4 linked regions of the Caenorhabditis elegans genome follow. The protein of the gene in region 1 interacts with the protein of each later gene in a pairwise test. Each region holds a gene or a part of one and is shown in the gene's direction. Other genes may lie near its edges. The genes, in order: gla-3, lsy-2, chtb-1 and T27A8.2.

Region 1 (7,244 bases):
ATCAGCTAATGAAGTTGACACACTTCATCTGATTGGTTCAAAAGCAAACAGAGCTTAATGCTGATTGGATACGTTTTCATCAGTATTTAAATATTTCCAGATTTGTGTCATGCACATTCTCCGTTTCTTCCTCATCTGTGCCAACATTACCATCGGAGTTTTGGACAATGATTTTGACGGTGGCGTGATTGTCTTGGTATCTGGAATGCCGGTGATGCTGATTCTATCGGCTGGACACGTGTTTTTCTCACTACGCCCTCAAGGATGATCTCTAGTTCATTATCAAATAAATATTTTAAAAATGAAAAAAATAACACAACAAAATTTAAGCCTGGCGTGACTGGCGTCCCTTGAAATGATCCATAGAATGAGTGATTCCAAAATGATCCCCGTATAAGTTGAGAACTTCAGTTGGAAGAAGTCTGAAAAATCATAAGTACGTTTAACATAAATCTGAAATTCAATAGGAACTTACCCTGCAAGTGCAATAAAAATGTAGCTAAACTTTGGAATTGCAAGGAATGCTCTGTCGGTGAGAACTGCCTCCATTATGCAATCGACAACATATTCTGGTGAAAGAATTGGAAGAAGTGTTGGCCATTTTGTGGCAATTCCATCGAACATTCCAGTATTTATATAAATTGGGCAGACTACAGTAGTCTTCACATCCTTTTTTAATGCGTACAACTCAGACGCAAGAGAGTCATTAAAACCAACAGCTCCGTGTTTGGATGCACAGTAATCTACCTGAAAGCTTTTTAATTTTAAATGTCTTTATTTGCAGAATATTTGGCCTCCCAACGAAACGTATGAAACACCATGTAATCTAAAAAAACAATGTAGGCACAGGGATGCCTACGTACCTATCTACACACAAGTTTTTTTCGACCTTTTGTGTAGACTAACTTAAACCCTTTAACTTTTCGTGGCGCGGTCAACATTTTGTTTTAAATCACTTACCAATCCAGCAACACCACACTTTCCAGCCATTGAAGCAATTGTTACAATATGCCCTTTATTCGACTCGAGCATGCCGGGAAGGAAATTTTTGGTAGTCTGGAAAATTTCGGTATTCTCTTTTCAACAAAAGTCATATCTTACAAAGAACAAAGCATTTGTGTTAACTGAAACAGTCTTGACCATCAGCTCATCTGGACATTGCAGCAACTTTTTTCCTTGAAATGTTTTTATGAAAAGATATTATGGGAATACTAATTTCTGAGAATGCGTATTGCGCAACATATCAGACGCGCAAAATATCTCGTAGCGAAAACTACAGTAATTCTTCAAATTACTACTGTAATTTTTGTGTGAAGTAACAATGGGTTCACTGAACCTTTTCGAAAGTCTTATCATTTTATTTATTTTATTGATTTTTGTTTTCTCTCTTTATCTGGCATATTTCGCTTAAAATGAAAAATATGTAATACGCTAAACTTCGTATGTTTCTAAATCTCTACAGTATGCAATTAGCAAGGGATGTGCTTTTTTGCCAGTGGGTCCCGCCGCGCCATTCAAATTCATTTAATTAATACCATGTGTATTGCGACTCTTCATTGTGTCTTCGAGACCCGAAGAACTCGGGGGATGTCCAATTGGGGGGATTACCAACTCGGGGATTGGCCCCGCCCACAGAACCGTGGCTTGCAATACGCCCATTTCTGCAACTGCCGCACGGTTTCGAAACTGTATTTTTCTCAATAGAGCGAGATTTAACAAGAAAAATACAGTTTCAAAACCGTGCGGCAGTTGCAGAAATGGGCGTATTGCAAGCCACGGTTCTGTGGGCGGGGCCAATCCCCGAGTTGGTAATCCCCCCAATTGGACATCCCCCGAGTTCTTCGGGTCTCGTGTCTTCTACAGGAAAAAATTAACTCTATAAGGAACAAAATTATTATTTACTGTGTTTTTGTATTGTACATGAATTTTTCAGAAGTTTGGATGTTTTCAGCCGACTGTACTTACCCGTCACAATTCCAGCGTTGTTCACGAGAATATCTACTTTCCCTACTTCACTTTTAACCAAATCGGCGGTTCTATTGATTTCTTTGTATTCCGATAGGTCCACTGTGTATGCTTTAGCCTGAAAGATATAGAAATGAAACAGTATACAAATCGCAGAGACGCAGAGAAACGCACAACGACACTCCGAAATGACGATCGCGCGTTGTTTAGCGTGTCATTTGAATTTGTACTTTTTCTCATTTGCTTACCTAAATTTATTCAACTTCTCTTTGTTTCCCATTTTTGAGTAAAATATTTTTAAAAAAGCCATTTTCAGATTCTAAATCGTATTTTTCTGTAAATAGATGAGTAGCTCTGCGTCAAAAACTCAGGAAATAAGGTATATTCTTCGTATGAATAACTAATTGCTAAAAACAAAATTTTCAGCGTCGTCATAGATCCCCGTGATGCGCTTACAAACAGCACCAACGGCAATAAACCAAACGGCCCAAAACCGAAAGTAAGATCAGAAAAGCGGTAGTTCGTGAGAAACTAGAGCAGAAGGGGGTAGAGGAAAAAACTAAAGCTAAAAAAATAACTAGAAATTAGTGTTTAATAAAACATTTTATTTTCTCCATCCTACTCACCCAACCATGCTTTATCAACCATCTTTGTTAAAAAGTCGACTTACTCCTGCTCCGCCGGTAATTTTCGGAAAAAGTGTATTTTTGGTTTATAATAAAATTCAGGGGTTTTCTTTTCAACCTCAGCCTCTATTGAACTCAGATATGGATCCAGTCAGAAATTTAGAAAGTCTAGGGAACTACACGGTGTATCAAGATTCTTCTCAATGTTTTTGGCAACATCAAAATTTTACCTCCAATCGAGAGCATAACCCCGCATTAAGGAAGGTTCTATTTTTGGAAAAACGTTTTAATTTCTTAACACTTCAATATTTTAATTAAGATCTACTCATTCCTTGTAGTTTCAGACAAAGATTTGCGATCACTGGCGACGCTCGGGCAGCTGTTCGTATGGCGACGCGTGCTGGTATGCTCACGGTGAAGACGATCTTCGTAAAGTGGTCAGTTAAGCAGCGTAGGAAACATCAAAGAAATCTGGTTTTTCAGGTCCGGATTGATCGTTCGAACGAAGAAGAGAATGAGCGACCGGCTACTGCTGAAATTCAAAAGTCGCCGACAAAGCGTGCATCAACCAACGTCAAAGGATTAACAGTGAATATTCCATCGAATACTGCCTTCAAAGAACAAAACTCTTCGATGCCGTTATCTCCAGCTCAGGAAAGATGGATTTCCATGTCAATTGGAGCTGTACCACCACCAACCAGCTCAGCTGCAGAGAAGGATGCGATTTCATCATTATCTAAAAACGGTGTCGAGCAAGAACAGGAAAAGAAGCATGAAATATGTTCTCGTGACGATGATATTGACGATTACGGATTTTTGGTTAGTTTTGTAACTTCAAGAATAACTTTCGGTTGAAACTGAACAACTTGTTTTCAGTCTCCGAATCCGTTCCCATACCCGCAACAGTCAATGTTCTCAGCTGGATTTCCATCTCATGGACACCATCAACGTTCCTCGAATCGTGCTACGCAAGGGGTTCCTTCTCAACAATTTGGAGGTATAGAGATTTCACGAGGTTTTCTCGAATTTAATGAAATGAGTCTCAGCCCGCTGAAATTTTTATGGTAGTCTTTTTGAATTGTTGCGGCTGATTTCTCGTTTTCTTGAATTTTTCAAAACAATGACTTAGTTTTTATCAATCTTTATCGTTTTCTATTCATTTTTTTTGCTAAAATTAGTTTAAATCAGTTTTTGGAGTATAAATTAAAAAAGACTATCATAAACTTTTTATACGTCGAGACCCTGAATGAATCCGTGCGCCTTCAAGAAAACATGTCAAATTCTAGTGAAATTACGACAAGTTTTTCTTCAGAGATTTTTTAAATCAAAATTCATTGTTACAGGGCCAGTCAACATCCCTGGTCAAGATCCGAATCGTTTGGGATCTGGAGCATACCATATCCCACCACAGCACCAAAGATCAAGATCCAATGTTCGTACTTCACGAGAGGTCGGCGGTCCCCCTCCGCAATTTCAACAAGCGATTTGGAATGTTGCTGGTGAAATCTATCAACGTCAGAAGGACATAGAGATAGGCGGACAGAGAGTTGGACCCAATGATCGTCAACCGACTCAACAGAAAAATTCGGAAATGGATCGACTTTTGTCTAAACTGAAAATGAAAGATTTGAACTACCTTCGTTTTATGATAGAGCGAGGATATATCAACGAGCGTGACGTGTCTAGGCAAACTTCGGTGAGTGGTGTCTCAGGTTTTTCTTTTTTCACAATTTCTTTTAGATTTAAAAAAATTCAAACAATTTTTGTTCAGAGTGATCAAATGAGTAATGGTCATCACTTCAATGCTCCTATGACCCCACCATACCATCCACGACTTGCAGGAAACGGTAAGATTGAAATCAACCAAATAAATAGGAAAATTGATCGAACTATTGCATACATTTTAGAACCAAATACTTCGGACTGTCATTACCATGGAACTGGAAATCGTTTATCAAATTTCATGCCAGGACGTCATCGTCCCCCACATCAACATCCAATCCATCATCATCATCAGTCACAACATCAGCTACACCAGCATCAGCAATATCTGCATCATGCTGCTCAGCAATACCGTTATTCGCATCAACAGGGACCTCAACATCCGTTTGCGGCTCTTCTCTCACCACCGGAGATCTCGGAGTCCTTGCTCCCACCTGATGACTCGTTTTCGATTTGGCTCGAGCCGAAGCCGAAAAAACAGTCCGGAGCCATGACACGAACTCGCGGAGCTGCGACGATCAACGAATCGAGTTCTGCGGCAAGTCTGCTCACAAAAATGGATGCTCTTCGATCAGACAAGTATCCAATTACAGACGAGGAAATGATGATGGCTAATGATTTTGTGAGACAAGGCGATCGAGATGGTATGTTTATTGGTTAATTTACTCGAAAAATTTCTATAAAAATTTATAGTTCTGAATATCCATCAATTTCAGATAAACTAAGCTCCAGCGAAAGCTCAAGTCCTGTCGTGATGTCTTTGATGGAACTATTGAGCAACGAGAATCTGCTCGATCAAGTAGCAACCGAAAAACCAAAGTGTTCTATGTTCGATTTTGATACTCTAAAAATCGCCGAAACTCTCAAGGAGCCACTGCAATCTTCCGAATGTTCAACTACAACATCAAGCAAGATGACCTGCTCTCCAATGTTCTTTTTCGTAGATGAAAAGACACCAAACTACGGTAAAATTTTTTTTAGTATTTGAGTAGAACCTCCAATATATCGGCTATTTTTTAGACGGCTCAGGATCGAAAAGCCTTTTCACTCCGTCATCATCGGCCGGCCAGACGCCTTCATTCCTGGAACCTTGCGATTTTTTTGCAGCCACCGGATCGTGCCCCTTCGGTGACGCCTGTCATCAGAGTCACTCGATTTAGGAGGACCAGCGATGATTTTAAAGCCCATTATTGTAATCATTTTCTCATTTCTCACCCAATTCAGTTTCTAAATTTTATACTTTATCATTTTGTCCTTTTTCATCGTAATTTTTGTTCTACTCGCAGCTCTTCTTTAGTTTTTTGTATGTATTTAGGGTTTCTTGTAGAGGATATGGATACTTCCAGCTTTTTCCCACCCACATAATCTTGTTTTCCTCAAGTGATACGGATACCATCCACAAAAGTACGATATTCATAATTTAAATTTTGTATTTTTCTTCACTTTTTGTTCCATTTACACTTGTTTTCATTATTTCTAACGAGCCCGCGCCGCTCTTGACACTAGCTTTGTAATAGTAATAGTTAGCTGTAGTTGTAGTAAGTTTTAGCGAACATTCATCTAATAAATCTATAAATGTGAAAAATGTTGCAAGTCCAAACCTCAACTCCCATCGCTTCCAATTCTTTGAGTGTTTCTTTGTTTCCTTGCTCGTTTATATCCCATAACACTAATCTTGCACCGAGTTTTCCGAACTCGAAGGCCATCAATCGGCCTAATCCACTTCCGGAGCCAGTGATCAGCACAGTTTGTCCTGAAACTTTTAATATTATTTCCTTGTGTACGTGATCCGATACCTCGAACGTCTTTTCGTAGTAGCCATCCCATTGGGAAGCAATTTCTAATTGTGGAGATAATAAGAAGACATATGGCATGTAGAGTCACCACAACACTTTCTAGAATATCCTGCATCTACAAAATCGGAAAATTGAGGGAATTTTTAAACCAAAAATTAAAACGTATTGGTTTTCTTGAAAAGTTTCTGGAAAAAAGCTAGAATACAAAAAAAAAGAATCAAGATTGAGAAATCATATAATGAAGAGTTTTTGTTGACTGTACACGCTTTTTCTCTTATCATTCAACATTTTATCAGTGAATAGACCATGTTCTGTAAACATTTTGATAAGAGATGGAGAAATAGTGTTGGAAATGAAGAGAATTAGATAGAAGGTAGAGTGGAGCCGAGAATACAGAATTTTGAAGTTTTTGATTCATAGTTTTGGTCGAAGAAATGCACTGAAAAAAAGTAAATTATTACCCATACGCGCAATGTTGCGATTTTTGAGCCAAAAATACGGTAACCGGTCTCGAGACGCCTTTTCAAATGTAAAATACAAATGTTTGTGCTCCTTTAGAGGGAACTGTAGTTTCAAACTTTCGTGTTTTTGCAGAATTGTCATTGATTTTTCATAATTTTTCGATTAAAAAAATTTATTTATTTAAAAAGTAACAAAACAAAAAAAGCAGGACTGAAAATCCATTGGCAACGAAATTTTCAAATTACAGTACTCTTTAAAGGCGCACACCTTTTCGCATTTAACAGGAATGGGTCGTGTCGAGACCCGGTACCGTACATTTGGAGAATAAATCACAAAATTGATTGAATCGGTAATAACTTTTTTAAACAAAAAAATGAAGTTCGATTTAAAAAATAAATTTAAAAACTTGAAGATCTTGGTAAAAAATCGAAAGAATCGAAAACAATTCTTTGTTTTTTTGTTGCAGAATCTCATGTTCTCCTCCCTTTTTCATTTCGAAAAAAAACGAGTTTTCTTACACTTCTTAAAAATTCAATCATAAATTCTATTTGTGTGATTCTTCATTTCAACATTCCGAACACACAGATTTAAATTACTCCAAATGCAAGTAATTGTGGTTTTTTGGTGAGAAAGTACGGTATCGGGTCTCGAGGCGACCGTAACATTGATGCTA
Region 2 (7,999 bases), on another chromosome or scaffold:
TTAGTGACACTCATTTTATGGATGAGTTTCTAGAGCCGCCTAAAAAGTTGAATCCGACTTCTTCAGGGGGTTCTTTTTTCTTAGTTTCTAGCAATCTGGTTGTTGAATAATTTACTGGTAATTTCTGAAAAATCGCATGACTTTATATTACGACATGTATAGTTTTCATAATGTAACTTGTAAAAGACTTGTTTTCTTCTTTATTGCTTATATTTTCCAAAATAATTTTTTTGCGTAATTTAAGTACTTGTATTTATAATTCTTTGCTAAAAAAATAAATATGTATTATGAAAAACTGCAGAACTGTGAAAATTTAGAAACTATAATTTTTCTGAGGAAATTTATACCTTGGAAATAATATTTCAAACAATGAAATGTATTCTGGCTTTCAAAGCAAACTAAAATGAATAAAAAAAATTATGTAAGCCTTGGAAATCTGAATAATATATTTGAAATATTTTAATATGAAAATTGTAAAAAAGTGTGCATAGATTAGTAACAGTTTTTTTCTGAACATTGCTTTAAAAAATTGATATTAAAGGCTATAAAAATTTAATGGAGAAGTACCGGTTTGGACGATTTTGAACATATAGACCCAAAATGTGCTTAAATAAACGAATTTTTTAATGAAACGACTCAAAATTGTTTCAAAAGTTTTTTATGGCGGTTCAAAATTTCCAAAAATACCTTAATCAACAAAACAACATAAGGTAAATTACCAAAATTTGCAAAAAAAATGACAATAATTAAAACAAATCTACTTTGAATCACTGCGGCACGGAAAAGTAAAAAAAAAGTTGGATAATTTTTTTCGAAATTTTGAACCGTCATATAAAATTTTGTAGATTAAAAAAAAATTTAATTACAAAATTCGATCATTTAAGCACATATTCAATTTATACGTTAAAAGGCGTCCAAACCGTTACTCATCCCTAACTATGTTTATCGAACCGACTTCCCTAGGTTGAGAGATTTAGTCTCATCGTTCCACACGCACCAGGTAACTGAAAATAACATGCACTTTTAGGAAGCTAGAGCCAGGATGTCTTAATCCTTTTCGTTTTCCCCATTTGTCTCGATCCAATATAACGAAGCGGTTAAGTTCTCAAAACTTCAAAAATCTGTCGAATGAAGCAAGTGTGAGCTGCTTTTTTTCAAATAAAAGTATTGCCCTACAAATGTTAGAGGGCTCAGAACGGAAACTAGCTGGCTGTTCAGCAGATGTTCGTCAAGATGGCACCCTTCATGGTAAAAGTATCTTTCACGTTTTTTTTTCTTCGCCGAGTATCTGAGTAGAGGGAGTTTCTCAACTTGTGCTCGTTTCTCTTAATCTAATTTCCCAGAACAACTTGGCGATTGTACTTCTTTTCTGAGACGTCGAACAAGTTTTCACACTCTTGTTAGAACACTTCACTTTGAAGGAATCTTACTATAAACTTTAGGTATCCTTAAAATTTTGATACTAATTGTAAAGACTAATTTTTCGAGTTTCTGGCTTAATATATTATTTTTGAAAAAAAAACGTTTTGTTTTATTTTAGTTCACCAAAACTCCCCTTCTCAAGATTTTTCAATTAGAATTGTGAAACTTATGAACATAAACTGAACAAGACACAAATTTCTCCTCAGGTTTAAAAAAACATTTGGAAAAAATTTGTTATTTTTGGTAAATTAATTTATATAACACTACTTATTGGTATTTTTATAAATAGTATAAATGCTGATAGGTTTCACAAAATGTCAATCTTTATTTGTTTTGTTGTGTTTGTTAACAAACTTGCTTTGTAGTCAATAAATTATCAATAAATATATAAATCTTATTAAATTTAATCTAAAGCTTTAAAATTCAAGAGATCTCTAACTTTTTAATTTTGTATTAAACTACTATTAACCGTTTTCACACTTTTTTTTCGAAATTAATATACACTTATTTTATTTATTTTTCAATTTCATTAACCCGAAAACATTTAATTTTATAATTCAGAATGATGAATTTACACCATCCGCAGCACCAGTCCAATTTCCATGAACAACACACGCCGTTTGCTGCTCCGATTCCAAATGGACACCACAACAACCACGTCTGCCTCCACAACAACAACAACAACAACAACTCCCAATATACTTGGAGTTACACGGTGAGCCAGCGTGGATGCGTGCGAGCAGCAGGCAAGATGCACATCTGCTCTTCGTCTGGGGCTTACGGCGTTGCACGAATATCGAATAGTGTTCATAGCGAATAGATGCGATTTTCTGAGTCCTGATCGATTTTCATTCAAATTTCCAATTTCAAATTTCAAGGTTTTATTTTTTCATTTAACTTTTTTCAATTTGCCAAAATCGTTGAAGTCTTTTGCTGGGTTTTGTTCAGTTCCAAAAGCAGCTGTGACAATATTATACATGTCTTTTATGTTAGGAAAAATATTATTGATCATGTATAATTTGATTGACTTTTACTATTCCAAGCACTAACTTCTATTTATAATTAAATCTTAATTTTACTTTCAATAAAACATTTCTGATGCAAATTATTTTTAAGACTTGCCATAGCCCAAAAATTAGCAACCAATTTCTCAATTCTCGGCCACCTGAGATTATGAAAACGCATCTGCTTATTTTTGCACCTGTTTTGTGTTTTCGACCAAACCATGACTAAAACTAAAATAATTTTTTTCATAAAATTGTATTTTATTTAGAAAAAAAAGACAATTTTAAAAATTCCGAAAAATTGCAATGAAAATGTTTTAATTTGCACTTTATAATTTTGAAAAAAAAATTGTAAAAAATGACGATTATTACGAAATAATATAAAAATACAGTTTAATTTTTTATATCTAATTTTCTAAACACTCGCAATACACAAAAAACTCATTATTTTCTAAATTCTACACTTGCTGAGTTATCAGAAACGATGTAAAAACCACGAACAGCAAGCGACGGTGGTGACCTCTGTCCTCTCGCTCACTATCCTTGTTGTTTGTTGCGCGCCTGCGTCTCGTTTTCTCGTTGCGCTGCGGCCGCGTCGCGTCCCCTCCGAGTGGTCGCATTTCTTACCGTATCGTTCTCATACCATAACCCTTTCTGCACTTGGCGGCAAGGTGAATAGTTTGAATTCGACGCTTCTTTCGCAATATCTAGCAGTCTCGAGCTGTTTTTAAGCTGTCTGAGGCAAATTTTGTCATGCTAACCAGAAGAAATGCTAAGCAGGTAACTAGATATCATTTCAAAAAAAATTTCTAAAATTTTTTGAAATCTCTTGAAACCCATGTTTTCATTTTTATTTCGCTTCTGTACTTTAACCTTTCCTTTTATAAACTCCTTTCAAATTTCAATTTATCGAATCTTTTATAAATTCCCTACTTTTTTAGACGTTCTCTACTTTCAGAGTCAACGGAATTCTGCGGATCAGTCCCTCTCTGAATTCAACAGTTCCAGTATGACTCACGGGTCGAATCAGTCAGTTTATCACCACAATCAACACATGGATGACTCCGAAATGATGATGGATGAGCAGGATTATTCTCAGGTACTCAAAAAAATTCTGAAACCATTTCAGGGGCATCATAATCAATTTCAGTATCAAATGGGGTTTCCTGAAGAAGATGAGATGGTGGAAGGAATGATGACCCCTCGAGCTGTGCACCAGTGTAATGTTTGCAACAAAATATTTGTTTCCTATAAAGGTAATTTTTTGAAAAATACGGTAGCTTTGTCTAACTCTGATTTTGTTTTCAGGTCTCCAGCAGCATGCAGTGATACACACAGATCAGAAGCCTTTCCGATGTGATATTTGTTCAAAATCATTTAGGTTTAAGTCGAACTTGTTTGAGCATCGTTCAGTCCATACCGGCTTCACTCCTCACGCCTGTCCATATTGTGGAAAAACTTGTCGGTTAGTGGTTTTTTTAAACAACATTCGCTGTGCTCTTTCAAATGTACAGTAATAAAAATGTGGCGGGTTGCGAAAACGACCGTTTCCCCTTAATTCTCATTCTCTCACAGTCGACTCTCCTCTGCTAATGCGCAGTACGGTGTGTACAGTGTACGGGCCGAGAAACGGTAGAGAAAAAGAGACGGACGAGAGACACCGTAATGCCATAGGCGACACTGTAGAACAATCGATAAAACGAAGAGAAATAGTGTTAGAATGGTGAAAAAGGCGTAGATAAGATGCATGCCGTACTCATTTCAAAACGGCACTCGTGACAGTAATCTAAATGTTGCGGGTAGAAAACACAAAAATATAATCAACAAAAATTATTTAGGCGATACGAGAAATAACAAACAAATTTTTTAAATTTTTTCAGACTGAAAGGCAACCTCAAGAAGCATCTTCGCACACACGTCACGACGAAGGAAGAGCTGGAAGCTGCCTGGAGGCCGTTTGCCAGGTTTGATCTTAACAAAAACGGAACGCCAGTATTGGCAAAATCTCGGTTCAGCAACCGTCGGCCGCCTGCTGACATCCCTGACGACGCCATCGTACTTCGTGGAGCCGGAGGACCGTACTACACGCCGCCGCCTCGTCCGAAGAAGAAGTAAGCAGACATCCAGCATGCACAATTAAAATGTGAGATTACCGAATGTTTTTTTTCAGGAAGCTTGGACTCGGAGAACCAGAGCACTGGGTGGACAAGTTGAGAAGAGGAGATCTTCTGCCACAAGTTGAGCTTGAGGACAAGATCAGACGTCTCGAAGACACTATCTTCAACAACATGTCTCTTGAGCGTTGGGGCAACCTTTTCGAGATTGCAAAGTCCATTGCATTCGAGACGTGAGTTTATTTATCCTTGAACTGAAAAGAAATCGGAGTGGAAAATGCCGTTTGAGCACATGAATTCTCAGAATTACGGTACATATTATATACATACCTGCTCTCCGTGCGTTTGAGAAAGATTTGACATCAATTCAAATTTTTTGCAACAGTTTCGCTACGAAATTTCGTCAAATTTTGATTGAATTATTATCTTAAAAGAGAGCGTACTTTATAATTTGTTTTAAAATGGCTGGAAGATTGTTGAAAGCATAGAAAGCATCAAAAAGTGAATGTAGGACTGAAAGTGAGTATAAGTATAATATCTGAAAAGCGCTCGGTGTGCGGCAAATTTGCCGAATTTGCCGAATTCATCGAATTCCGTAAATTTCAAAAATGTAGACTTGCCGAATCTGCCGAGCCCGGCAAATACTGAAATTTGCCGCACACATGAAACAATTTTTATAAAAATTTTGTACAAAACTAATGGTTTTGAACAGAAACCTAATGAAAGTAAACATAACATCGTGTTTCTTTTATTTTTTATTGAAGAAATCCACACGCGCATTAGGCAAAATTCGAACAAAAACCAGTAAACGTAGTTTATTTTTTAAATCAATTTTGGCCCTCTTTGAGCTCGAAAAATATTGCGATTTACTGAGTATGACAACCATGGCAAATTTGCCGAATTTGCCGCACACCCATGGTGCGATTCATTTCCTAATATATGCCTGGGTTTGTATACTTATTGAATTTTTTTGAACCAACTGAGTTGTAAGCTCCCAAAATCGAGCAGTGCATTACTAATAGAACTAATAGAACTATTATAATAGAAGAGAACACATTACACAGTTTAAATTAAAATTTTCATTAAACCTACCTAATTTCAGCCATGATTGTCCAGTGTGCAAGTCTCAATTCATGACCAGAATGGATTGTGTCAGCCATCACACACTCGAACACGAAAATCATCGGGAGGGTCTTGAATTTTTCTGCGAAGTGAGTTCTATAACGTTGTAATTTGAGTGGTTTTCTGTCTGTGGGATGATTGAAAATTTGTTATTATTGTTGGATTTACGATACAATATATATTTTTTCAGAAATGCTATAGACCATTTGCTGACGAGGCCAGCTACAATCAGCACATGAGCTACCACACGCGAGTTAGCAGTTTGATTGAAACTGGAGAAATTGTTGTACGTTTACAAAAGTTAATATTTGAACAAATAACTAAAGCTCACTTTTTTTTCAGCCTCAGCCAGCAGATCCGGAAATTTTGGTACCAACGAATGACGAGTTTCAAATGCTGTTTGGCGCAAACTTTGGCCAGCAGATGATGGAACCACAGTTGATTTGAAATTGATTATTATTATTGTTGCTTAGATAGAGTAATTCAGCTTGCGCACTTACCCATTTTTGACGCCTTCGATGACATTTCTTTCAACTTCTCTTATTCACCTTTTTCAAAACGGGGTACTTTTTTCTTCTTGTTTTTTTGGTTCTTTTCTTACCTCGGGGATTAGTATTTTTTGAAGATTTCCTACCCATTGACAGACAGACTTGCTCTTTCAATCATTTTTTTTTCCAAAATTGTAAGCATGCCGTTTATCATTGTTGGCATTGATCTACACCAGCGATATCTTGCTCCTTATTTCCATTTGTAATCCGTTGTTTTTTATTATTATAACCTAATGTATAACCTATTGAGGAGTTTGTATAGTCGTTGTAGTAGTCTTTGTTTGTTTTACCTTTTTTTCCCGTTGCCTGATTTCGTCTATTTTTATATATTCTTCTCTTTTGAGCCGATTGTATAGGTGTTCGATTAATATGAAGTGTCATAATTCAATTTATGGAGTGAATAATAAAATTTTGATACGTTTGAAACAAAATGGAATGAATAGCCTGGTATCCAGAATATGCAAATGCAAAAACTTGTTGAAGCGGTAGCAAGGATCAGATAATACAAATGAAAGTGGTTTGAAGTGAAGATTGGGAAGGAGTAGGACAACTTCCGGAACATACCGATCAGAGTTTTAGATAACACATGTTGTATATAAGACGGTAGTGGGGTACAACATTCATCAACCAAGTTTTTCTCCATTGTTTGTTTCGAGCAATGAGTTACAAAACTATGGAGTCGTCTTCGTCGACTGTCTCATTTGCAGTCATTCTTTCTGGAAGTGCTTTCTTGATTATGGTAACTGCTACTCCTGTCCTTTTCTATACTATGGGAGACATGACTGCTCAACTGGAAACTGCAAAAACTGGTTTTGAAGAGACTTCGAATGTGCTCTGGAAGGAGCTTGTTACGAATGAAAGCCACCGCAGAGTTGCAAGACAAACATGTAAGTGCAGATGTTAACGTTATCTGAAAATATTTGACAAATGAAAATTTAGACAAGGAAGGAGGAGCTGCTGGTGAGGGATCTCCTGCCGCTACAGCACCCGAAGCCAGCCCTGTGAAAATTGACGACTCTTGCCCAGCAGGACCAAAGGGTGAATCAGGATCAGCCGGAGAGCCAGGAACCGACGGAACCGATGGAACTCCAGGAAAAGATGGAGCTGATGGAAGCAATGAGCAGACTGCAAGCCAAGCTGGAGATCTTTGCACTGCTTGCCCAGCAGGACCACCAGGTGTTGCTGGATACAAAGGAAAACGTGGACCACGTGGTGAGAAGGGAGATAAAGGAGCTCCAGGAAACGCAGGCCGCGATGGTGCACCAGGAGATGATGGACCAGAAGGAGACCATGGGCATCCAGGACCAATGGGACCAGCAGGAGAGAAAGGAACCAGTGGAGCTGACGGAAAAGGATTTGCTAAAGGAGCACCAGGACCAAAAGGACCGACTGGAATGGATGGTCTTGCAGGAGACGAGGGTCTTCCAGGAGAGCGTGGAGAGGATGGTTCAGCTGGAGCACAGGGAGAGACTGGACCACAAGGACCACAAGGAGAGAAGGGACCAGATGGATTCCCAGGTCTTCCAGGATCCGCCGGAGCTTCTGGAGAAGATGCTGCCTATTGCCCATGCCCATCAAGAAAAGGAGACATCGCTGGAGGAGGAGGTGGCGGATACGCTGCAGCCCCAGGAACTGAATTTGAAGGATCCCCAGTTGTGAGTTTTACTGCAATTCTTGGATTTCAATAAAATAAAAGTACTTTCAGGAATCCGATCCAGCTAAGCTCTCTGCCGATATTCCAGCTCCATCGCCGATTTCCGATGTCTCTGCTGAAGGAGCGGGCGCCCCA
Region 3 (9,651 bases), on another chromosome or scaffold:
TGTAGATATATTTCTCATATCTTAATAAATCTGACCCCCACCCTCCATTCCTTTCCCTATGATAAGTTTGATGTTTGACTACTGATTTGCACTTTATCGTGACCAACCGGCACTGTATCAGAAAAACAGCAAAAAAGTGAGCGCGTTCGCTTTGTCTACGAGCATCCTAAAAACAATGATCATTTGAGATTGAACACATTTCGATGTGACTGTGGAGTCGCTCAGTTTCTAGTAAAGCTTCCATGAAGAGACAGGCGCGGTTTCAGGGTCTGGAACCTGTCTGAACTATTCTCTGGCATGACATGAAATTCCTGGTGTTTGCACCACGTGCAATAGTTGGTTCTTTCAAGGCAACCTACACTTTTCGGGTCCCAAGCAAAGCAGGAGGCTCGCGGTTTCAGGCAGGCGCGGCTATTGTTTTGGTGCCTGCGTTAACATAGTTTCTAGCAACGCACTTTGAAGCTGGAACATAAGTTTAATATCTTGGTCGGCTTTTACTTTGAATAAAAGTTGTCAACCGATAAAATCTCTGTTGTCTATAAGTCTCTATAAGTTTCTAATCATAAAGTTTCAAGGTTTGTTCAGAAAAATCGGAAATTGATATTATGTAGATATTATCTTTTGATTTCAAAGTAACATGTTTTAGGGAAATACCACTTTGTAAACATAACATGAACATACTTATCACTCGACCGCCTGGCCGAGCCTGGTATCCGCCGCGGTTTTTTTTGTCAAATTCGGGGTCCCGTCTTGTCGTGAGATGAAGGAGACACAACCCGCCGCCGCCCTTGTGATCTTTTTCCTACGAACACAAACCCAAATTCCTCAACACTATTTCTCTCCCACCACCAGCAGCACCAAAATCTGATAAAAAATGACAAGTTTTGTCGTAGAGACTCCGCGAGGACAACAAACAGTGGCACGAGCAATCTCTTTCGTGATATAGTGTTGCAAAAAGATGCGCTTGACAGCTTGTCTACGCCATGATGTTTTTTTTTGCTTCCGTGTCTTTTCTAGGTGCGAAAAAAGAACAAAAAAGAAGACAAGTCTCTCCGGATTCGGAAGATGGTTTTGAATGAAAAGTGAGATTTCATTCAATTACATATGAATATGGCCAGTTACGCAAGGAACGAACTGGATGCCATCGAGAAATTAAATGGTCTTGTACTTTTGCAAAAAGAGACCGGTAAAGAAATTAGCAATGATATGCATGGAAATTATTTTCCATTTCTTTTTAATGTACGCTGGAAGTTTTAAAAACAACATTATCTTATTATCAGTTGAGCGAAAAACGCTAAAACATAAGTTACCGAATTTGCATTAACTCAATTGAATTTTTACAGTTACTTATCAAAAGCGGCTTAAATTTTTGGCTTCATCAATAGCACGGAAATTTCAAAATCGGAATGCGCTGCCAACGGATAATCCAAAAACAAAAATCGTTGTGAAGCAGTAATAGATTCAAATTAAAAGGCTTGAAATTAAAAAAAACTGAGAATAAATTTTCACAGTCCATAATATATTAGCTGCCCTGTCCAGTTCAAATTGCCTGACCAACATCGCATCGTATTTGACTAGAGGTGTCTCACTAATTGCGTGCATTGCGCACTTAGAATAATGGAGTTTTGAATTACACGAGATCTTACAAAAATGCGCGTTGTTTTTTATGTCCGGGAATTTGGATTTGGAGGGTCTCAATTTCACTTAAAAGTGGCAATGACTACAAGTGGCAGAACAGTTAAATTACAATGACTCGGTCGAATCGAAACCGAATGTGCACTTTGCAACAGTATACGAGTCGCGGTGGGCGCTTGGTGCTCGATTTTTGTTGGAAATGTGTGCATCGCGCGTCCTTCAATGTTATGGAAATATGCAGTAGTTCCGGAAAACATCATATCATTTTGAAACATTAGCTACATATTATTCGATACATGGATGGTGGATGTTTTAAGTCTTCAAAACTATATGTTTTCAAGAACAGATGTCAAGACTACTGTAGACTACTGTACTGTACTGTAAGACTACTGTAGGTCAATCACTTCCATCATAATCATAAAATTCTTGTGAAATCAACTATAAAATTACGCCACCCTCATCATCACTTCCGATTATTTGTCCTCTTTCATCCGTGCCCGGAATTCGTCCGCGCTGGTCAAGTTGAACTCGTCGACTCTTTTCTTGCCAAGAAGTTGCTCAACCCCCAAAAAACTTGATCCAGTGTTTCCTGGCGGCGGTTTTACCTCATCTGAGACGCCTTAGTGTTGCTCCCCCAAATAACCCTAAAAAAGGAAACAATAGTACTTTTTCGCAAGAGAGACCGCGACCTCGCGCGCGCCTTCTATTCTCGTGCTCATAAGCGCCGAGCTTCTATTTTCGGCCGACTTGATGTAGAAAGAGACAGAGAAAGAGTACTGACCTCTCTCCGTCTTCGCCACCTTCTCAAGCGTCGTGTGCGAATCTCCGCACCGGTACAGTATACGCGGAGAGGAGAAGAGACGAAAGATAGAAACGAAGAAGACGGAGAGGGCGGCGCGTTTCGCATACAAACCTCCCCAACCCCTCGGAAGCTTCCTATCCTCTAGCTCTCACCCTACCTGCTTCATTCGTTCTCTACCTCACCATCGGAGAGAAGACACATTTCACATCTTAACCCCCACCCACAATACCATTATTTTCAAATTCCGTCTTCTTGTTGCTCCGTTGTCTCCTCCCCTTATCTCCCACCCCATCACAGCCTTTTATCACTTTATCAGTGTTCAAATTTTCCAGCGTGGCAATTGTTGTCGAGTCCACCAAAAGAAGAAGAAGAAGATAGCAGCTTTGTTTTCCATCTGAATCGACCACCTTCTTCCATTTATCATATAATCACAAAGCAGTATACACATAATGCTGCGCAATCTCATTTTAATCACCCTCCTCGGTAAGCTTTCTTTCAAATTTTATATAATACATTCTAGATTCTGTTTATTTTTGAAAAATGTTAGCTCTAAAATTAAATACTCTCTCTTGAAAATCTATATTTTTCCATATATTTTCAGAGGCAAAAAAGTTTCTGAATAGTCTAAATTTGATCTTGAATTTAAATGGGTTTATACATAAAACTTATCAAACTTATTCCATCTTATAGTTTACTATTCAACTACTAGATTGCAAGAATTTGTCTGAAAATCTAGGCCTGAAATATCACTGTATTTTGAGAATTTAAATAATAATAATTTCCCATTCATTTTTCTTATCATTTCTCAAACCAATTTTAATTTACAGTCGCTTCTGGACATGGACAGACGCCTGTAATTGGCGGAACGTGTAAACTTGGAACTGCTGATGTTCAAATTGGAGGAAAACAGACACAGTTTTTCCTCAAGTGCGAGACGACAGCTGAGTGAGTTTCATTCAACCAAAACAACTGAAAATCTTTCATTCTTTTAGTAGTGCCGAAGGTGAAGGTGTCTGGGTTGTGAAGTCGAGAGCCGCCGCCGCTCCTTCATCAGTACCATCTGTTCCAGCTGAAAATACACAGCCACAACAACATCCAAAAGCTCGTAAACCAGCTTCCCCGAACATTTGTGGTGAGTTTCTTAGACTTCTTATTCTTCTTCATCACCAACATTTATTCCTCTATTTTAAATCGGTGGAAGCTCTTAAGTCAACTAATGAGCGAGCCCACTTCTGACCGCAAATAAACATCAACCACAGTGGTCAACAATAAGTTGAAATGAACTGTTACGAGCGATAAGGTATCTAGGAAATTGTAGAAGAAAGAAAAGTAGAAAAAAGTGGAAGTCCGACATCTCCAAGCCATATTTGCTTATGCTTCTGACAGTGTTTCTTGTGTATTTGTGTGTTTACATTTAATTCTTTTCCTTTTCCTCTCACTCAATTCAATTCATTCCAAAAAATAAAACACACACATACAAACACACAAACATCACAAATAGTGTGTAGATATTTTGCCAACGAATTCCAAAACTAGATTCACTACATTTCTTGTGACCAAATTTCATCATCTTTTCGAGGAAATTCGAGGAAAATGCGCCACTTTTGTCTGGGATCCTTTGTTTCACAATTCCATTATTTGACCACTCTAATGAACGCAAATGACCTAAATCCTCTTGATGGGAATGAAGAAAAAAACGCAACTTGCGGTGTCTTGCAATTCCTGCTTGCTCCGCCGGCTTTTGTCCACCACTCACTTGCGCACAGTGCGTTGAGAGTCGCCGGCGCGTGACCAAGAGGGGGTTCAACAAATAGGTCAGAAGGTTGATAAGAGAGTGTTGGAGGAAGGGATACGCAGCTCGCAGAGCTCACCAGTCGCCGCCGCGACCTACCGAGGAAAAGTGTTTTGTTTTTAAGAACCCCAGCGAGAAAAGACAGAAGGGATAACTTAATGAGATCGGGGATTTGGTTTAAAACTGAAATTTCATCTTATTATTCTAAATCGATCAATAAAATATTTTCAGAACAAGACAATGGAGCCCGCGAGAGCGAGGTCTGTGCCGTTTCAGCCACCTGTCTTCAGGCTCATAACGACTTCCCATCTTCCTACCTTCAATGTGACCAAACGTAGGAAACCGTTGCATAATAAAAAACAAAATGTTCAATTCCAGCACTCTCCGATGGGTCCGCAAGTCGTGCCAAGAGAACTTCTTGTTCAACTTTGAGCAACAAACTTGTATCGTTCCAAAGAGAATGAGCTCTCTCTCCCGTAAGTTGTTTTTATGATTAACCACATATTATTTCACTAATTGCTTAAACAGCATCAACATCTTCCCCATCTAACACTGAAAATCCCTGCTCGAAATGCCCACTGGGATCAGCTTGCCGCAATGGTAACTGTATCCCTTTAACAACTTCAAGTAGGTTCTAATCACACTTTTCCCGCCTATGATCTCTAACTTTCCATTAGATTTGTGTTCTGATGGTTCTCCTCCTAATAATACATGTACTCGGGATCCGTACTCTTGTCCCAAGGGACATTTTTGTACCGCACAAAAAGTGTGTTGCCCTTCAACTGCATTGCAATCATCAATTGGATGTTCGACGGTCTGCACAATCGATGAATCGTGTCCAAAAGGAATGACATGCCAGAATAACTGCTGTGAAGAAAGAAAACTACTACGACATCCAAAAGTATATCGATATGCAACTGTAGAGGCAACAAATACAATATTTGAAGTGGATAATGATATTTTTGATAGTGCTGCAATCGAATCACTCCCAACTCAAAAACCGCAGCGACTAGATGAAATTATGGCTCCAGGAATCACACCAACTCCGACAAGAACCACTGAACCTCCAAAACTTCGATGTTTGAGTAGTAACACGGACGAGGTCAATTCATTAGGTGCGTTCACTTTTCTTCCTTCCTTTTCTCATCTGTTTGTGGTCACTTTAAAGTATTTCGGAAAGAGCGCTCTCCGTTTCCACCACTGTTTACAAAGTAAATAGGAGCCTAATGAGAAGCACGCGCATTAGCTAACCACCTCATTTCATCAACTGTACTTTTATAGGCGGAGCATCATCATCATCTGCAACATGTGGAGGAACAAATGCGAATTGTACTTCTGATGAAGATTGTCCAACAACCTTCAAATGTTATCAAGGTTGTTGTAAATTGGCTGTATGTCCGAGAAGTCTAACAGCCGTCAAATTCACATGTAAAACTCAATATCACTGTAGAGCAAATGAACATTGCTTTTTTGGAGGATGCTGCCCAAAAACTATCGAATTAGCTGTGATAAAATCACAAGTTTTGACAATGAGCAAAGACAACGAGCACACCAAAGAGACAGAAAAACTGATAATTGGAGACTGTGAAGTGGATACCAGAGTTAAAAAATGTGATATCGATATTATATGCCCAGAGATGTCAGAATGTGTAGATGGAATATGCTGTAAGCAACCACCAAAGGCACGATGTGGAAATGGATTGATGGCTCTTTCGATTCCAGTTCATTGTTCTCTATCAGATGATTGTCCAATTGCTTCTAGATGTGAATATGGGAAATGTTGTCCGTTCCTCTCAGAATCTGCGGATTCCACTTCCGATAGTGTCGGAGAAACCACGCCTGTAATTATAAAAGAAGAAATAATCTCAACAGCAACAAAAGTTTGGAAGAAAGTTGACAAAACCAGTGGTGTATCGATTAACAAAAATGTAAGTTTCTACTCGAGGTGGTAAAATATTCAATGTTATTTTTTAGAAATGTTTATCCACGCAAAGATGTGATTTACATACTCTGTGCCCTCCCGATTTCACTTGCTCACTGTCGGGCAAATGCTGCAAACTGAACATTCATTGCCCAGACGGGACGGTTCCTGAAACTTCATGTCAGTCTGCTAGTAATCATGATCACTGCCCATCATCATCTCACAAATGTACTTTACTCAATAAGGAACATTTTGCATGCTGTTATAGTCCTGGTAAGAAACATGGCATCCCAAACTTAATTGAACTAATGATTTCCAGGACTTGTCGTCGAAGGAAGTGTAACAGCTGAGGTTTCCTCAGAATGCCCCATAGGATCTGTTGAAGTTGATCCAAGATTCGGAACTTCCTGCCGATACAGTTTGCAGTGTCCATCTCCCTATTTCTGTAATCAACGGGGTAGATGCTGTCAATTAGCTAATACCTAAAAGGTGAGGTTCAAAGAAAATGAACTTAATTCAAACTTTATGTATTTCAGATCCAGATACAATGCTTCAATCCCAATCTCTTTGACAAACACGTGTACACCGACATATTCAATTAAATAACATAACTAACCACATTAAACCTTCGCATGAATACTTACTTCTAACATTCTTCATTATGAAAATCCATACTCCAATAATCTCAATTTACATTTGTAATATTTATGTACAGGTCAACAAGCCAGCGGACTCGTGTGCACATTCTCTAGCTGCTCCAACTCCAACCCATGCTCCGTCGGAACTTGCAACAACGGATACTGTTGCTCCAGTGGATCCAACTCTGGCTCAGCTATTATTGGTAAGTATTTTCAATCATTTTTGATCACTTCCCACAACCAGCACACTTCCATAATTCAGATTCTGACACCAACAGCACAACTAACCCGTCACAACCAGAAACCACAAAAACCAAAAATAATACGAAAAAGTCTAACTCTAGTAAAAAGCACAGAAAACCCAAAAAGAAAGACGTGGATCCCCTCTCTGATCCACTTCTTCAAAATGATTTTCCAATCGGACCTCCTGGCTATGGGTTCCCTGAACATTTATCCAACTTGGATGAAGTTCTGATAAGAGCTCAAGGAGATGGTGGTGAGCACCTTCTAACATCACTTGCACCTTCCAGATGTCTTTTACAGTTTCTTGTGCCGGAGGTTTCCAGTCTTCCTTGATCTGCTCTGTTGGTTCAGAATGTCCAGCTGGATTGCACTGTGATACCGCTATTAACCTCTGCTGTCCGCTTTTACTACCACTCACTGATCCTAAGAACCCAAAAAAGAGAAAAACGAAGAGAAGAAAGCAAAAACAAGATGAAAATGAGATGGAAGCTTCAGCAAACTTCCCAGATTCAGATCCTGCACGATTTTCGTCTTACTCATGTGGATGCAGTAATAAAACATTTTTCTAACAAATTGTATGTACAGTCAGATATTTATATTTAACTTTTCAGTGGGCGGAGGATCCAGCAACTGCGTCGGATGCCAGAATGCCCCACAAATCATCACTATCCGTGAGTACTCTGAAAATTTGAACGCTGAACTTATTTCTGATATTTCAGCACAAAACTCATGCCCAGGAGGTGGATACTCTGTCGGAGGATGCAGCTCTGGATATTGTGCCACTGGATACAGTTGCATCCAAAACCAATGCTGCCCATCATACAACTCTGCTCCAAGAATCTCTGTCTGTAAGTTTTATAGTTTATCGATATAGGTATTTATTCAAATGAATCTTATTCTAGACACCTGCCCATCTGGAGGAAACGCTGTTGGAGCCTGCATGTCTGGAAGATGCGCTAGTGGATACACCTGTAGCAACAACGTTTGCTGCCCACAGACCACCACCACTAACCCATTCGGTAATTTTTAATGTAGACTTTACATTCTAATCTTCGAACTTTCCAGTCTGCCCTGATGGAACCCAAGCTGCTGGAGGATGTGTGAACGGACAATGCGGAACTGGATACACTTGCTCCAATGGACTTTGCTGCGCCGGAACATCAACCACTGTCAAATGTCTTGACGGATCTGACGCCGTCGGAGCTTGCATTCCATCATGCACCGGAGATGGATGCGGAGGAGTTCAAGTCTCATACTATTGCGGATCTGGATACACTTGCACCACCGGAAACATTTGCTGCCCCATCAACAGTTGTCCAAATGGAGGAGAAGTTCTCGGCCCAACCATCAATGGACTTTGCCCAACTGGATACACCGTTCAAGGAAACCTTTGCTGCTCTGCCACCTGTACTGATGGATCAACTGGTCTTCCCTCTGTCAACGGAGTTTGTATCGACGGATACTCCCTTACCAACGGAGTCTGCTGCCCAGCAAGTGTCACCTGTACCGATGAGATTTCCATTGGCCCATGCACAGGAACTGGATTCAACGGAGGATGCCCAGCCGGATACGCTTGCGATTCCAACCAAGTTAACTGCTGCCCAGTTGTCAGATATACTGATGAGTCATGCCAAGTCGGACCAGCTATTGATGGACTCTGCCCACCAGGATACGTCGTTGTCTACATTCCAAACAGTCCACTCATCACCAACGGCGTCAATCCAGGAACTTGTATCGATCTTCAGTGTAGTAAGTTATTCAATCAAAATTATATGAACAGTTTTGAACATTATATGATTTCACCTTCATTAATTATGAAAACTTTAGCCACCGGACTTTGCCTCACTGCTAATCAAATCGGAGACTGCGACACAGCAACAGACGCCGGAACCTGCCCAACTGGATACACTTGCTTCACGAACGCCGGAATCTGTTGTTCTACCACTACTTTCAGCCGTCTTCGTATTGGTAACTCTCGACAAATGGCTCAAAAGCCAAACTATGGACGTCCACTTCACAGTTATATGCCTCGTAAGTATGCCTTGTTTTTCTGATCAACGTGTGGCGTGAATTTCTTACTTTGAAAAAAATCTCCCTGGTATCCTCCCTTTTCCACCTCTTCTTCTTCAGCTCGCTTCGGCGGACCATCCTCTTCGTGCTCTGATGGTTCACTCTCATCCGGTCCGTGCATGAACGGTCTTTGTGGAATTGGACTCGAGTGTCAGAATGGCAAATGTTGCTCTCCATCATCGAACAAGCCAGCCGGACTTCTTCAAAGTACTAGTTTGCATGCATCTTCCCCACTGAATCTTTCTCATCTTCCCCTTTACAGGCAAATGTCCATCCGGTGACACCGCCGTCTCCGGATGCTTCCCAAATGGATCATGTGGAACTGGATATGAATGTGTTTCTTCATTAAATCTCTGCTGTCCACCAGGTCAACCACAGACATTCCCATCATTCCCGGGTAACAACAATGGTTTCAACATCAACAACAACAATCGATTCGGATCATTGTCGATGTGTAAGTTTCGTGAAATTTAAAAAATCACGAAGACACATCATCTTCTCTTATAGCGCCGCGACCCATCGGCGCCCGTTGTCAGCTTGACGGCGAGTG
Region 4 (5,427 bases), on another chromosome or scaffold:
TTTCCAATTTTTCCGGAAGAAATTTATGTTGGTAGGAATGTTTTGAACTGAAGACAAAAACTCCTGTAGCGCGACCAAAAACGAATTTCTTGACCCAGAAACGTACCCATAATACTAAAAAAAAATTAGCAACCATTTTTAAAAAAATTCTCCCAAAATTCCGAAATTTTTATTTTTGTTTTTTTTGTGCCTGTATATACCTGTTGAAATTGGAATTCAAGCCAAAAACCCCTGTAGCGCGACCAAAAACGAATTTCTTGACCCAGAAACGTACCCATAATACTAAAAAAAAATTAGCAAACCATTCTCATAGAAACTCTCCAAAAATTTCAAAATTTTTTTTTTGCAAAAAAGTGCAGTCATATGTATGTAAAAAAATGAATTGAAGACAAAAACCCCTGTAGCGCGACCAAAAACGAATTTCTTGACCCAGAAACGAACCCATAATACTAAAAAAAAAATTAGCAATCCATTTTCATAGAAATTCTCCCAAAATTCCGAAATTTTTATTTTTGTTTTTTGTGCCTGTAAATACCTGTTGAAATTGGAATACAAGACAAAAACCCCTGTAGCGCGAACAAAAACGAATTTCTTGACCCAGAAACGTACCCATAATACTTTTAAAAAAATTAGCAATCCATTTTCATAGAAATTCTCCCAAAATTCCAAAATTTTTATTTTTGTTTTTTTGTGCCTGTTGAAATTGTTGATATTGAGGAAACCTGTTGAAATTGGAATTCAAGACAAAAACCCCTATAGCGCGACCAAAAACGAATTTCTTGACCCAGAAACGTAATACTAAAAAAAATTAGCAATCCATTTTCATAGAAATTCTCCTAAAATTCCAAAATTTTTTTTTTGCAAAAAAGTGCAATCATATGTATGTAAAAAAATGAATTGAAGACAAAAACCCCTCTAGCGCGGCTAGAATATAACTTGTAGGTCCAGAAACTTATCCATAATCTTTTAAAAAATTTAGAATCCAAATCTATGGAAACCCTACCAAAATTCCAAAATTTTTGTGAAAAAACTTCTGTCGAATACCATAGGAATTCTTCTAAACTTTGAAAATTTTCATTTTTGTTTTTTGCGCCTATATTTGGATTACCGGGGGGAGTCCCATAGTTATTGGCGGGACATTCAAATTTTCTAAGAAAAAATTTAGGCGAGAAACTCAAATTTCCTGAGAAAAAAAAACATTTTGGCAGGAAATTCAAAGATTCATAGTCCGGAACTAGATTTGCTTTCTTTCCTTGTTAGTAGTGCGGCATTTCTTTTTGCTGCAAGATATGCCGTTGTTGTTCTGCTTATTTCTGGAAAAAATTTCATTTTAATATTTTTGTGAAAATTTTCTGTTTTTCCATGTTTTTCTATGAATAACTTTTATGGAAATTTTTATGAATTGTTTAGCTTTAACAATCCTTCTAACAGTTAGGAAATGACTAAATATTATAATGGATCTTTTAAAAATTTGTGGAATTTTTTTTTATTTCGGGTCTGATCGTGCGCCAATTTTGGAGAAACCAAAACACTGTTGCTTGTTTGAATCCCAACAATATTAAAATAGGATTACTGGAAACGTGAGTCAAATTTAAAACTGAAGGTAACTTTTTTTTTGAATATTTTTATTATGATATTTGGACATTTTTAAATTTTAATGTGAACGAGTTTTAATCTTTTCCCACAGGCCGTTGTCCATCTTCAATTAAAGTTTTTTTTCATCTTTACAATCATCAATTTTATAAAACCTTCAACTATGCTCAGATATAGCCGACTCAAACTTTTCATAATTTCGAAATTCAATTTTTTTTCAATTTTTTTGTTTCCTTTTGATTTGGTCATTACGAGTTCGTTGTCGTGTCAAGATTTGACCTACGACAAGTTGGTGTTGCCTGCAATGCGTGAGTCGCGCGACAGGTCTGCCCTCGTCTTCCGCACACTATTATCGATCGATGGTTTATGGCCGTTTGCTGACATTTGAATGTGCCATTCTCTCATATCCACAGCTATACTTTTTTGTGGTTTTTTTTTTGTTATTTTTCATGTAATTTTCGCCTAACTGAATCTGACGTCTGCACGATTTAAATTTTTTCCCACTCGGCAAGTTGCCGCAATATAAGATCCAAAAAAACAAGACATTTCTGTATTTCCTTTATTATGTACGTGGCAAATAAATTTGAGAACCTTCAACTAACTAAGTAAATTTTCATTTTCAGCTACCATGACGTATTTCACTCACGAAATGAACCAAATTATGGGGCTTCATCATCCGGAAATGGCGATGCCCAAGTTCAAAATGGTCGCCCTGGTCAGTGCTGCGATGGAAGAAGCGGATGACGTGTTTCCGGAGATTGAAGTAGTTGTCAAGTGGATCACCGACTTGTTCCCGTATTACAAAGTGTTTCACGATATGTACAAATGGGAGTTTGTTAATCATGTGGCCTGGGTTCTGGACACCGAACTGTGCTTTCGTCGAGAAAGGTGAGTTTTGTGAAGTTTGTAGAAATATTTTTAACAAAAATTTGAAACATTTCAAATTCTTTTTCAAATATTATCGGAAACTGAATTTTGTTGTCAGATTTGCGTGTAGCGTTTAAAAATTGGTTTTCATATAATTTTCAACAAATTCAAGTAAATCCAGAATGTAATTACAACAAAAAATAAAAATAAAGTTCTGCTAAAAAATATCAGATAACAAGTTATATAGCCAAATCATACAATTGCTGTTCATATAATTTAGACATAAGAACCAGAACTGTGCGGCAACCGGCAACCAAGTTGCCGGTTGCCAAAAATTTGCCGAAATTTCGGCAACCAAAATTTGCCGGTTGCCAAAATTTTTTGGGTTTGGCAACTTCGGCAATTGCCGGTTGCCGCACAGCCCTGATAAGAACCCCACAATTTCTCCAAAAATTTCACCAAAATTTCTTTTTATCAGTTTTTTGGAAAAACAAAAATATGTGAATACTCATAAAAACTGTATTTTTTTGGTTTATAAATTTTGCTAAATTTAATCACTAGCACTTACTTAAGAATAACTCCAAAAAAAACTTAAGAAATAACTCCAAAAACTATTCGTATATGTTTTTTTATACTTTCAATTTGCAGAGACGTGAGATCTGGACTATGGGCTTATGAAGACGGCAACAAGGATATTCTGGATGTTGAGGAGGAGTTTCGAAAGGATATAGACGAGTTGAAGCAATATGTGGAGCATCAGGTGGAAATGGTATGTTGCCATGGAAATTTCAGTCATATTATATTAAAAATTGTTTTGCAGACGGATCTTGCTGGACGGATGTATTCGATGTCCTCAACCGGGTGATCTCTTGACAAGTTTTTCATAAAAATATTTCATTTATACATTAATTCAACTTATTCACTTTTTAGATTTTATTGAACCAATTCTGTATATAAAAAAGTTTCCAGTTCAAAACATTCCTACCAACATAAATTTCTTCCGGAAAAATTGGAAAAAAATCATACAAACTTTGTTATTTCTGACAAACGCTGTGGGAAACTAAAGCAGAAAAAGAGAGTGAAAAGAGTATAAGCCTAGTTGAAGACAATTCTATGAAAATGAAAAAAACATTTTTCGATCTTTTGTCAATGTTGAATGAAACAATAAGATTCAACACCACCTTTTTGATCATCAATCTTCCGAACTTCCACTTATCTGAGCATGTGAGCAACTCAGAACCACCTTGGTTCGGTGAGGGGATTGAACCCTCGACTGTTGACTCCACGGTCGAGTGCTTTACCACACTTGACCATGTTGCCAGCTCAGGATGAGTCACTGATTGCGTTGAGTTGGCGCCATGAAAACGTGGCGCGGTGGCGTAGAATGGCGCAATTTGTGCTGAAAAATGAACACTAAATGTGGGTAAAGTATATATTTCTAATATCAGAATTTTGCACTGATTTCAATGGGCAGCTTCAAATTGTTCAATTTTCAATCTAGCAGAAATTGGGACTTTTGCCAAAAAAAAAAATAAATCGTCAAATTCTATTTGTAAACCACGTTAAACATTATTAACTGTGAAAATGGTAAATGGTCCCATATCAGGGTGTCCCACAAGAAGATGATCTATAACGAAGTATCATAATATATCAATAAATCCAATTGACAACAGGTACTTTTGGTACACCCCTTTTGGTTGAGAAAAGATGGGGCGCAAAAAATAAAGTCATCGAATAAAAAAGTGAGACTGGCACCATTTATAAAAGTGCCGTAGCACGGCGGACAATTTGCAAAATAATTTCCAACAGCTGCAACACAGACAAATTAATATGACTTGAGGTTTTAGCAAAACTCTGTTTTTTTTTCGATACTGAGCTGTCATCAAAACTGAATTGCATTGTTTCAGATATCTATTTCAAAAGTTATTTGAGATAAGTTCAAGTCCGAGTCGGATTTAAGTTTGAAACCACTAGCTAGTCCACCTTCAAACTTTAATTTAGATCAAAAATCTTTTAAAAACAATTTTTGTGGCCACTCGCGCAGGTAGCCATCCTCCCTGCTGCTAAATTCGCTTTTAGGCGGTCACAGATATGGGAAGGGGCATCTGACTTTTAAATATAAAGTGCCATGACTCGTTTTTTTTTTTCAAATTTGCCGCAGGGAGTTGCACATTCTGTGGATAATCAATATGGTCGCTGTGGGGGGTTGTCCATATGGCCAGGGGTAAAAATCGGATAAGATGGTGCTCGTTTTTACCCGTTAAAATTTAGAAAAAAAGCAATATTTTGAAATGCTAAATTGTGTTTATTAAAACCGGTTAAACAAGACAAGGAGTGTAGCAAAAAGATAGTCTGTGAAAGCTAGCGAAACAATATAAAGCAATGTGTGTGTGTGTGTGTGTGTGAAGCCAAATCATTTTTTCCCGCCGAACAAATTTGACGTGTTCTGAAATCAAACTGGATTGCATGTAATGTAAATTTACACAAGTCATACCATCGATGAAAAGTTTTCAAACTTTTTAATGATTTCGGAAACAGATGAACAGGATGTATACGTATTCTCAACCTGAAAGTTGATTCAATTTGGGTAAGCTATAAATTATTTTTTGAATTTAGTGGGCATTATAGTTACAGACCAGGGGTGTGCGGCAAATCTCAAAATTTGCCGAGCTCGGTAAATTCGGCAAATCTCTTTTTCCAATATTTGCCGAGCTCGGCAAACGGCAAATTCGGCTATAAAAAATGTAGAAAAAAAATTTTGGTCGACTTCCGTTAGTGGCAAAAACTGAGTAATTGTCACTTTTAGACTGTAAATAAAAAATTTTCAAAAAAAAAATTGAAAAGTTTTATTATGATATTCGGTCATGTTGGGACCATAATAGTGGTTATTAACAATTTTCCCACTGGCGCTACTCCACTTTTAAACTAGAAATTTCCTTACATAATCGCAACTTGAAAATTTTGAAA

The links.
Region 2: the proteins of gla-3 (region 1) and lsy-2 interact in a two-hybrid assay, tested with the Caenorhabditis elegans proteins (one large-scale study listed by BioGRID).
Region 3: the proteins of gla-3 (region 1) and chtb-1 interact in a two-hybrid assay, tested with the Caenorhabditis elegans proteins (one large-scale study listed by BioGRID).
Region 4: the proteins of gla-3 (region 1) and T27A8.2 interact in a two-hybrid assay, tested with the Caenorhabditis elegans proteins (one large-scale study listed by BioGRID).

What each region holds. Positions count from the first base shown.
Region 1 is NC_003279.8:8,212,101-8,219,344, forward strand, and holds gla-3 (C3H1-type domain-containing protein), read left to right. Parts: upstream 1-2,597; coding exon 2,598-2,648; intron 2,649-2,693; coding exon 2,694-2,855; intron 2,856-2,929; coding exon of another isoform or gene 2,930-2,935; coding exon 2,936-3,028; intron 3,029-3,074; coding exon 3,075-3,410; intron 3,411-3,467; coding exon 3,468-3,588; intron 3,589-3,934; coding exon 3,935-4,287; intron 4,288-4,362; coding exon 4,363-4,438; intron 4,439-4,498; coding exon 4,499-4,957; intron 4,958-5,029; coding exon 5,030-5,278; intron 5,279-5,333; coding exon 5,334-5,473; downstream 5,474-7,244. Other genes in the region: T02E1.6 (uncharacterized protein), read left to right, coding at 101-268; Protein dhs-3, read right to left, coding at 326-422, 476-747, 961-1,056, 1,102-1,175, 1,966-2,083, 5,915-6,187.
Region 2 is NC_003284.9:2,086,621-2,094,619, forward strand, and holds lsy-2 (Zinc finger protein lsy-2), read left to right. Parts: upstream 1-3,083; 5' UTR 3,084-3,179; coding exon 3,180-3,206; intron 3,207-3,384; coding exon 3,385-3,525; intron 3,526-3,576; coding exon 3,577-3,682; intron 3,683-3,734; coding exon 3,735-3,891; intron 3,892-4,306; coding exon 4,307-4,390; intron 4,391-4,441; coding exon 4,442-4,537; intron 4,538-4,596; coding exon 4,597-4,773; intron 4,774-5,642; coding exon 5,643-5,751; intron 5,752-5,852; coding exon 5,853-5,948; intron 5,949-6,004; coding exon 6,005-6,109; 3' UTR 6,110-6,633; downstream 6,634-7,999. Other genes in the region: F49H12.2 (uncharacterized protein), read left to right, coding at 1-110; col-164 (Nematode cuticle collagen N-terminal domain-containing protein), read left to right, coding at 6,869-7,097, 7,150-7,865, 7,916-7,999. UniProt on the Caenorhabditis elegans protein: Involved in transcriptional regulation. Required to specify left-right asymmetry of the ASE gustatory neurons, probably acting upstream of microRNA lsy-6.
Region 3 is NC_003281.10:9,348,581-9,358,231, reverse strand, and holds the start of chtb-1 (Chitin binding domain (ChtBD2) containing chtb-1), read left to right. Parts: upstream 1-2,886; coding exon 2,887-2,920; intron 2,921-3,264; coding exon 3,265-3,382; intron 3,383-3,429; coding exon 3,430-3,569; intron 3,570-3,832; exon of another isoform or gene 3,833-4,012; intron 4,013-4,460; coding exon 4,461-4,563; intron 4,564-4,607; coding exon 4,608-4,705; intron 4,706-4,757; coding exon 4,758-4,856; intron 4,857-4,906; coding exon 4,907-5,344; intron 5,345-5,510; coding exon 5,511-6,157; intron 6,158-6,203; coding exon 6,204-6,423; intron 6,424-6,469; coding exon 6,470-6,607; intron 6,608-6,865; coding exon 6,866-6,991; intron 6,992-7,050; coding exon 7,051-7,284; intron 7,285-7,331; coding exon 7,332-7,580; intron 7,581-7,642; coding exon 7,643-7,702; intron 7,703-7,750; coding exon 7,751-7,879; intron 7,880-7,933; coding exon 7,934-8,050; intron 8,051-8,096; coding exon 8,097-8,780; intron 8,781-8,858; coding exon 8,859-9,062; intron 9,063-9,161; coding exon 9,162-9,308; and 4 more.
Region 4 is NC_003284.9:16,055,729-16,061,155, reverse strand, and holds T27A8.2 (Fork-head domain-containing protein), read left to right. Parts: upstream 1-2,210; 5' UTR 2,211-2,221; coding exon 2,222-2,481; intron 2,482-3,108; coding exon 3,109-3,229; intron 3,230-3,280; coding exon 3,281-3,325; 3' UTR 3,326-3,480; downstream 3,481-5,427. Other genes in the region: T27A8.7 (uncharacterized protein), read right to left, coding at 4,874-4,906, 4,955-5,026.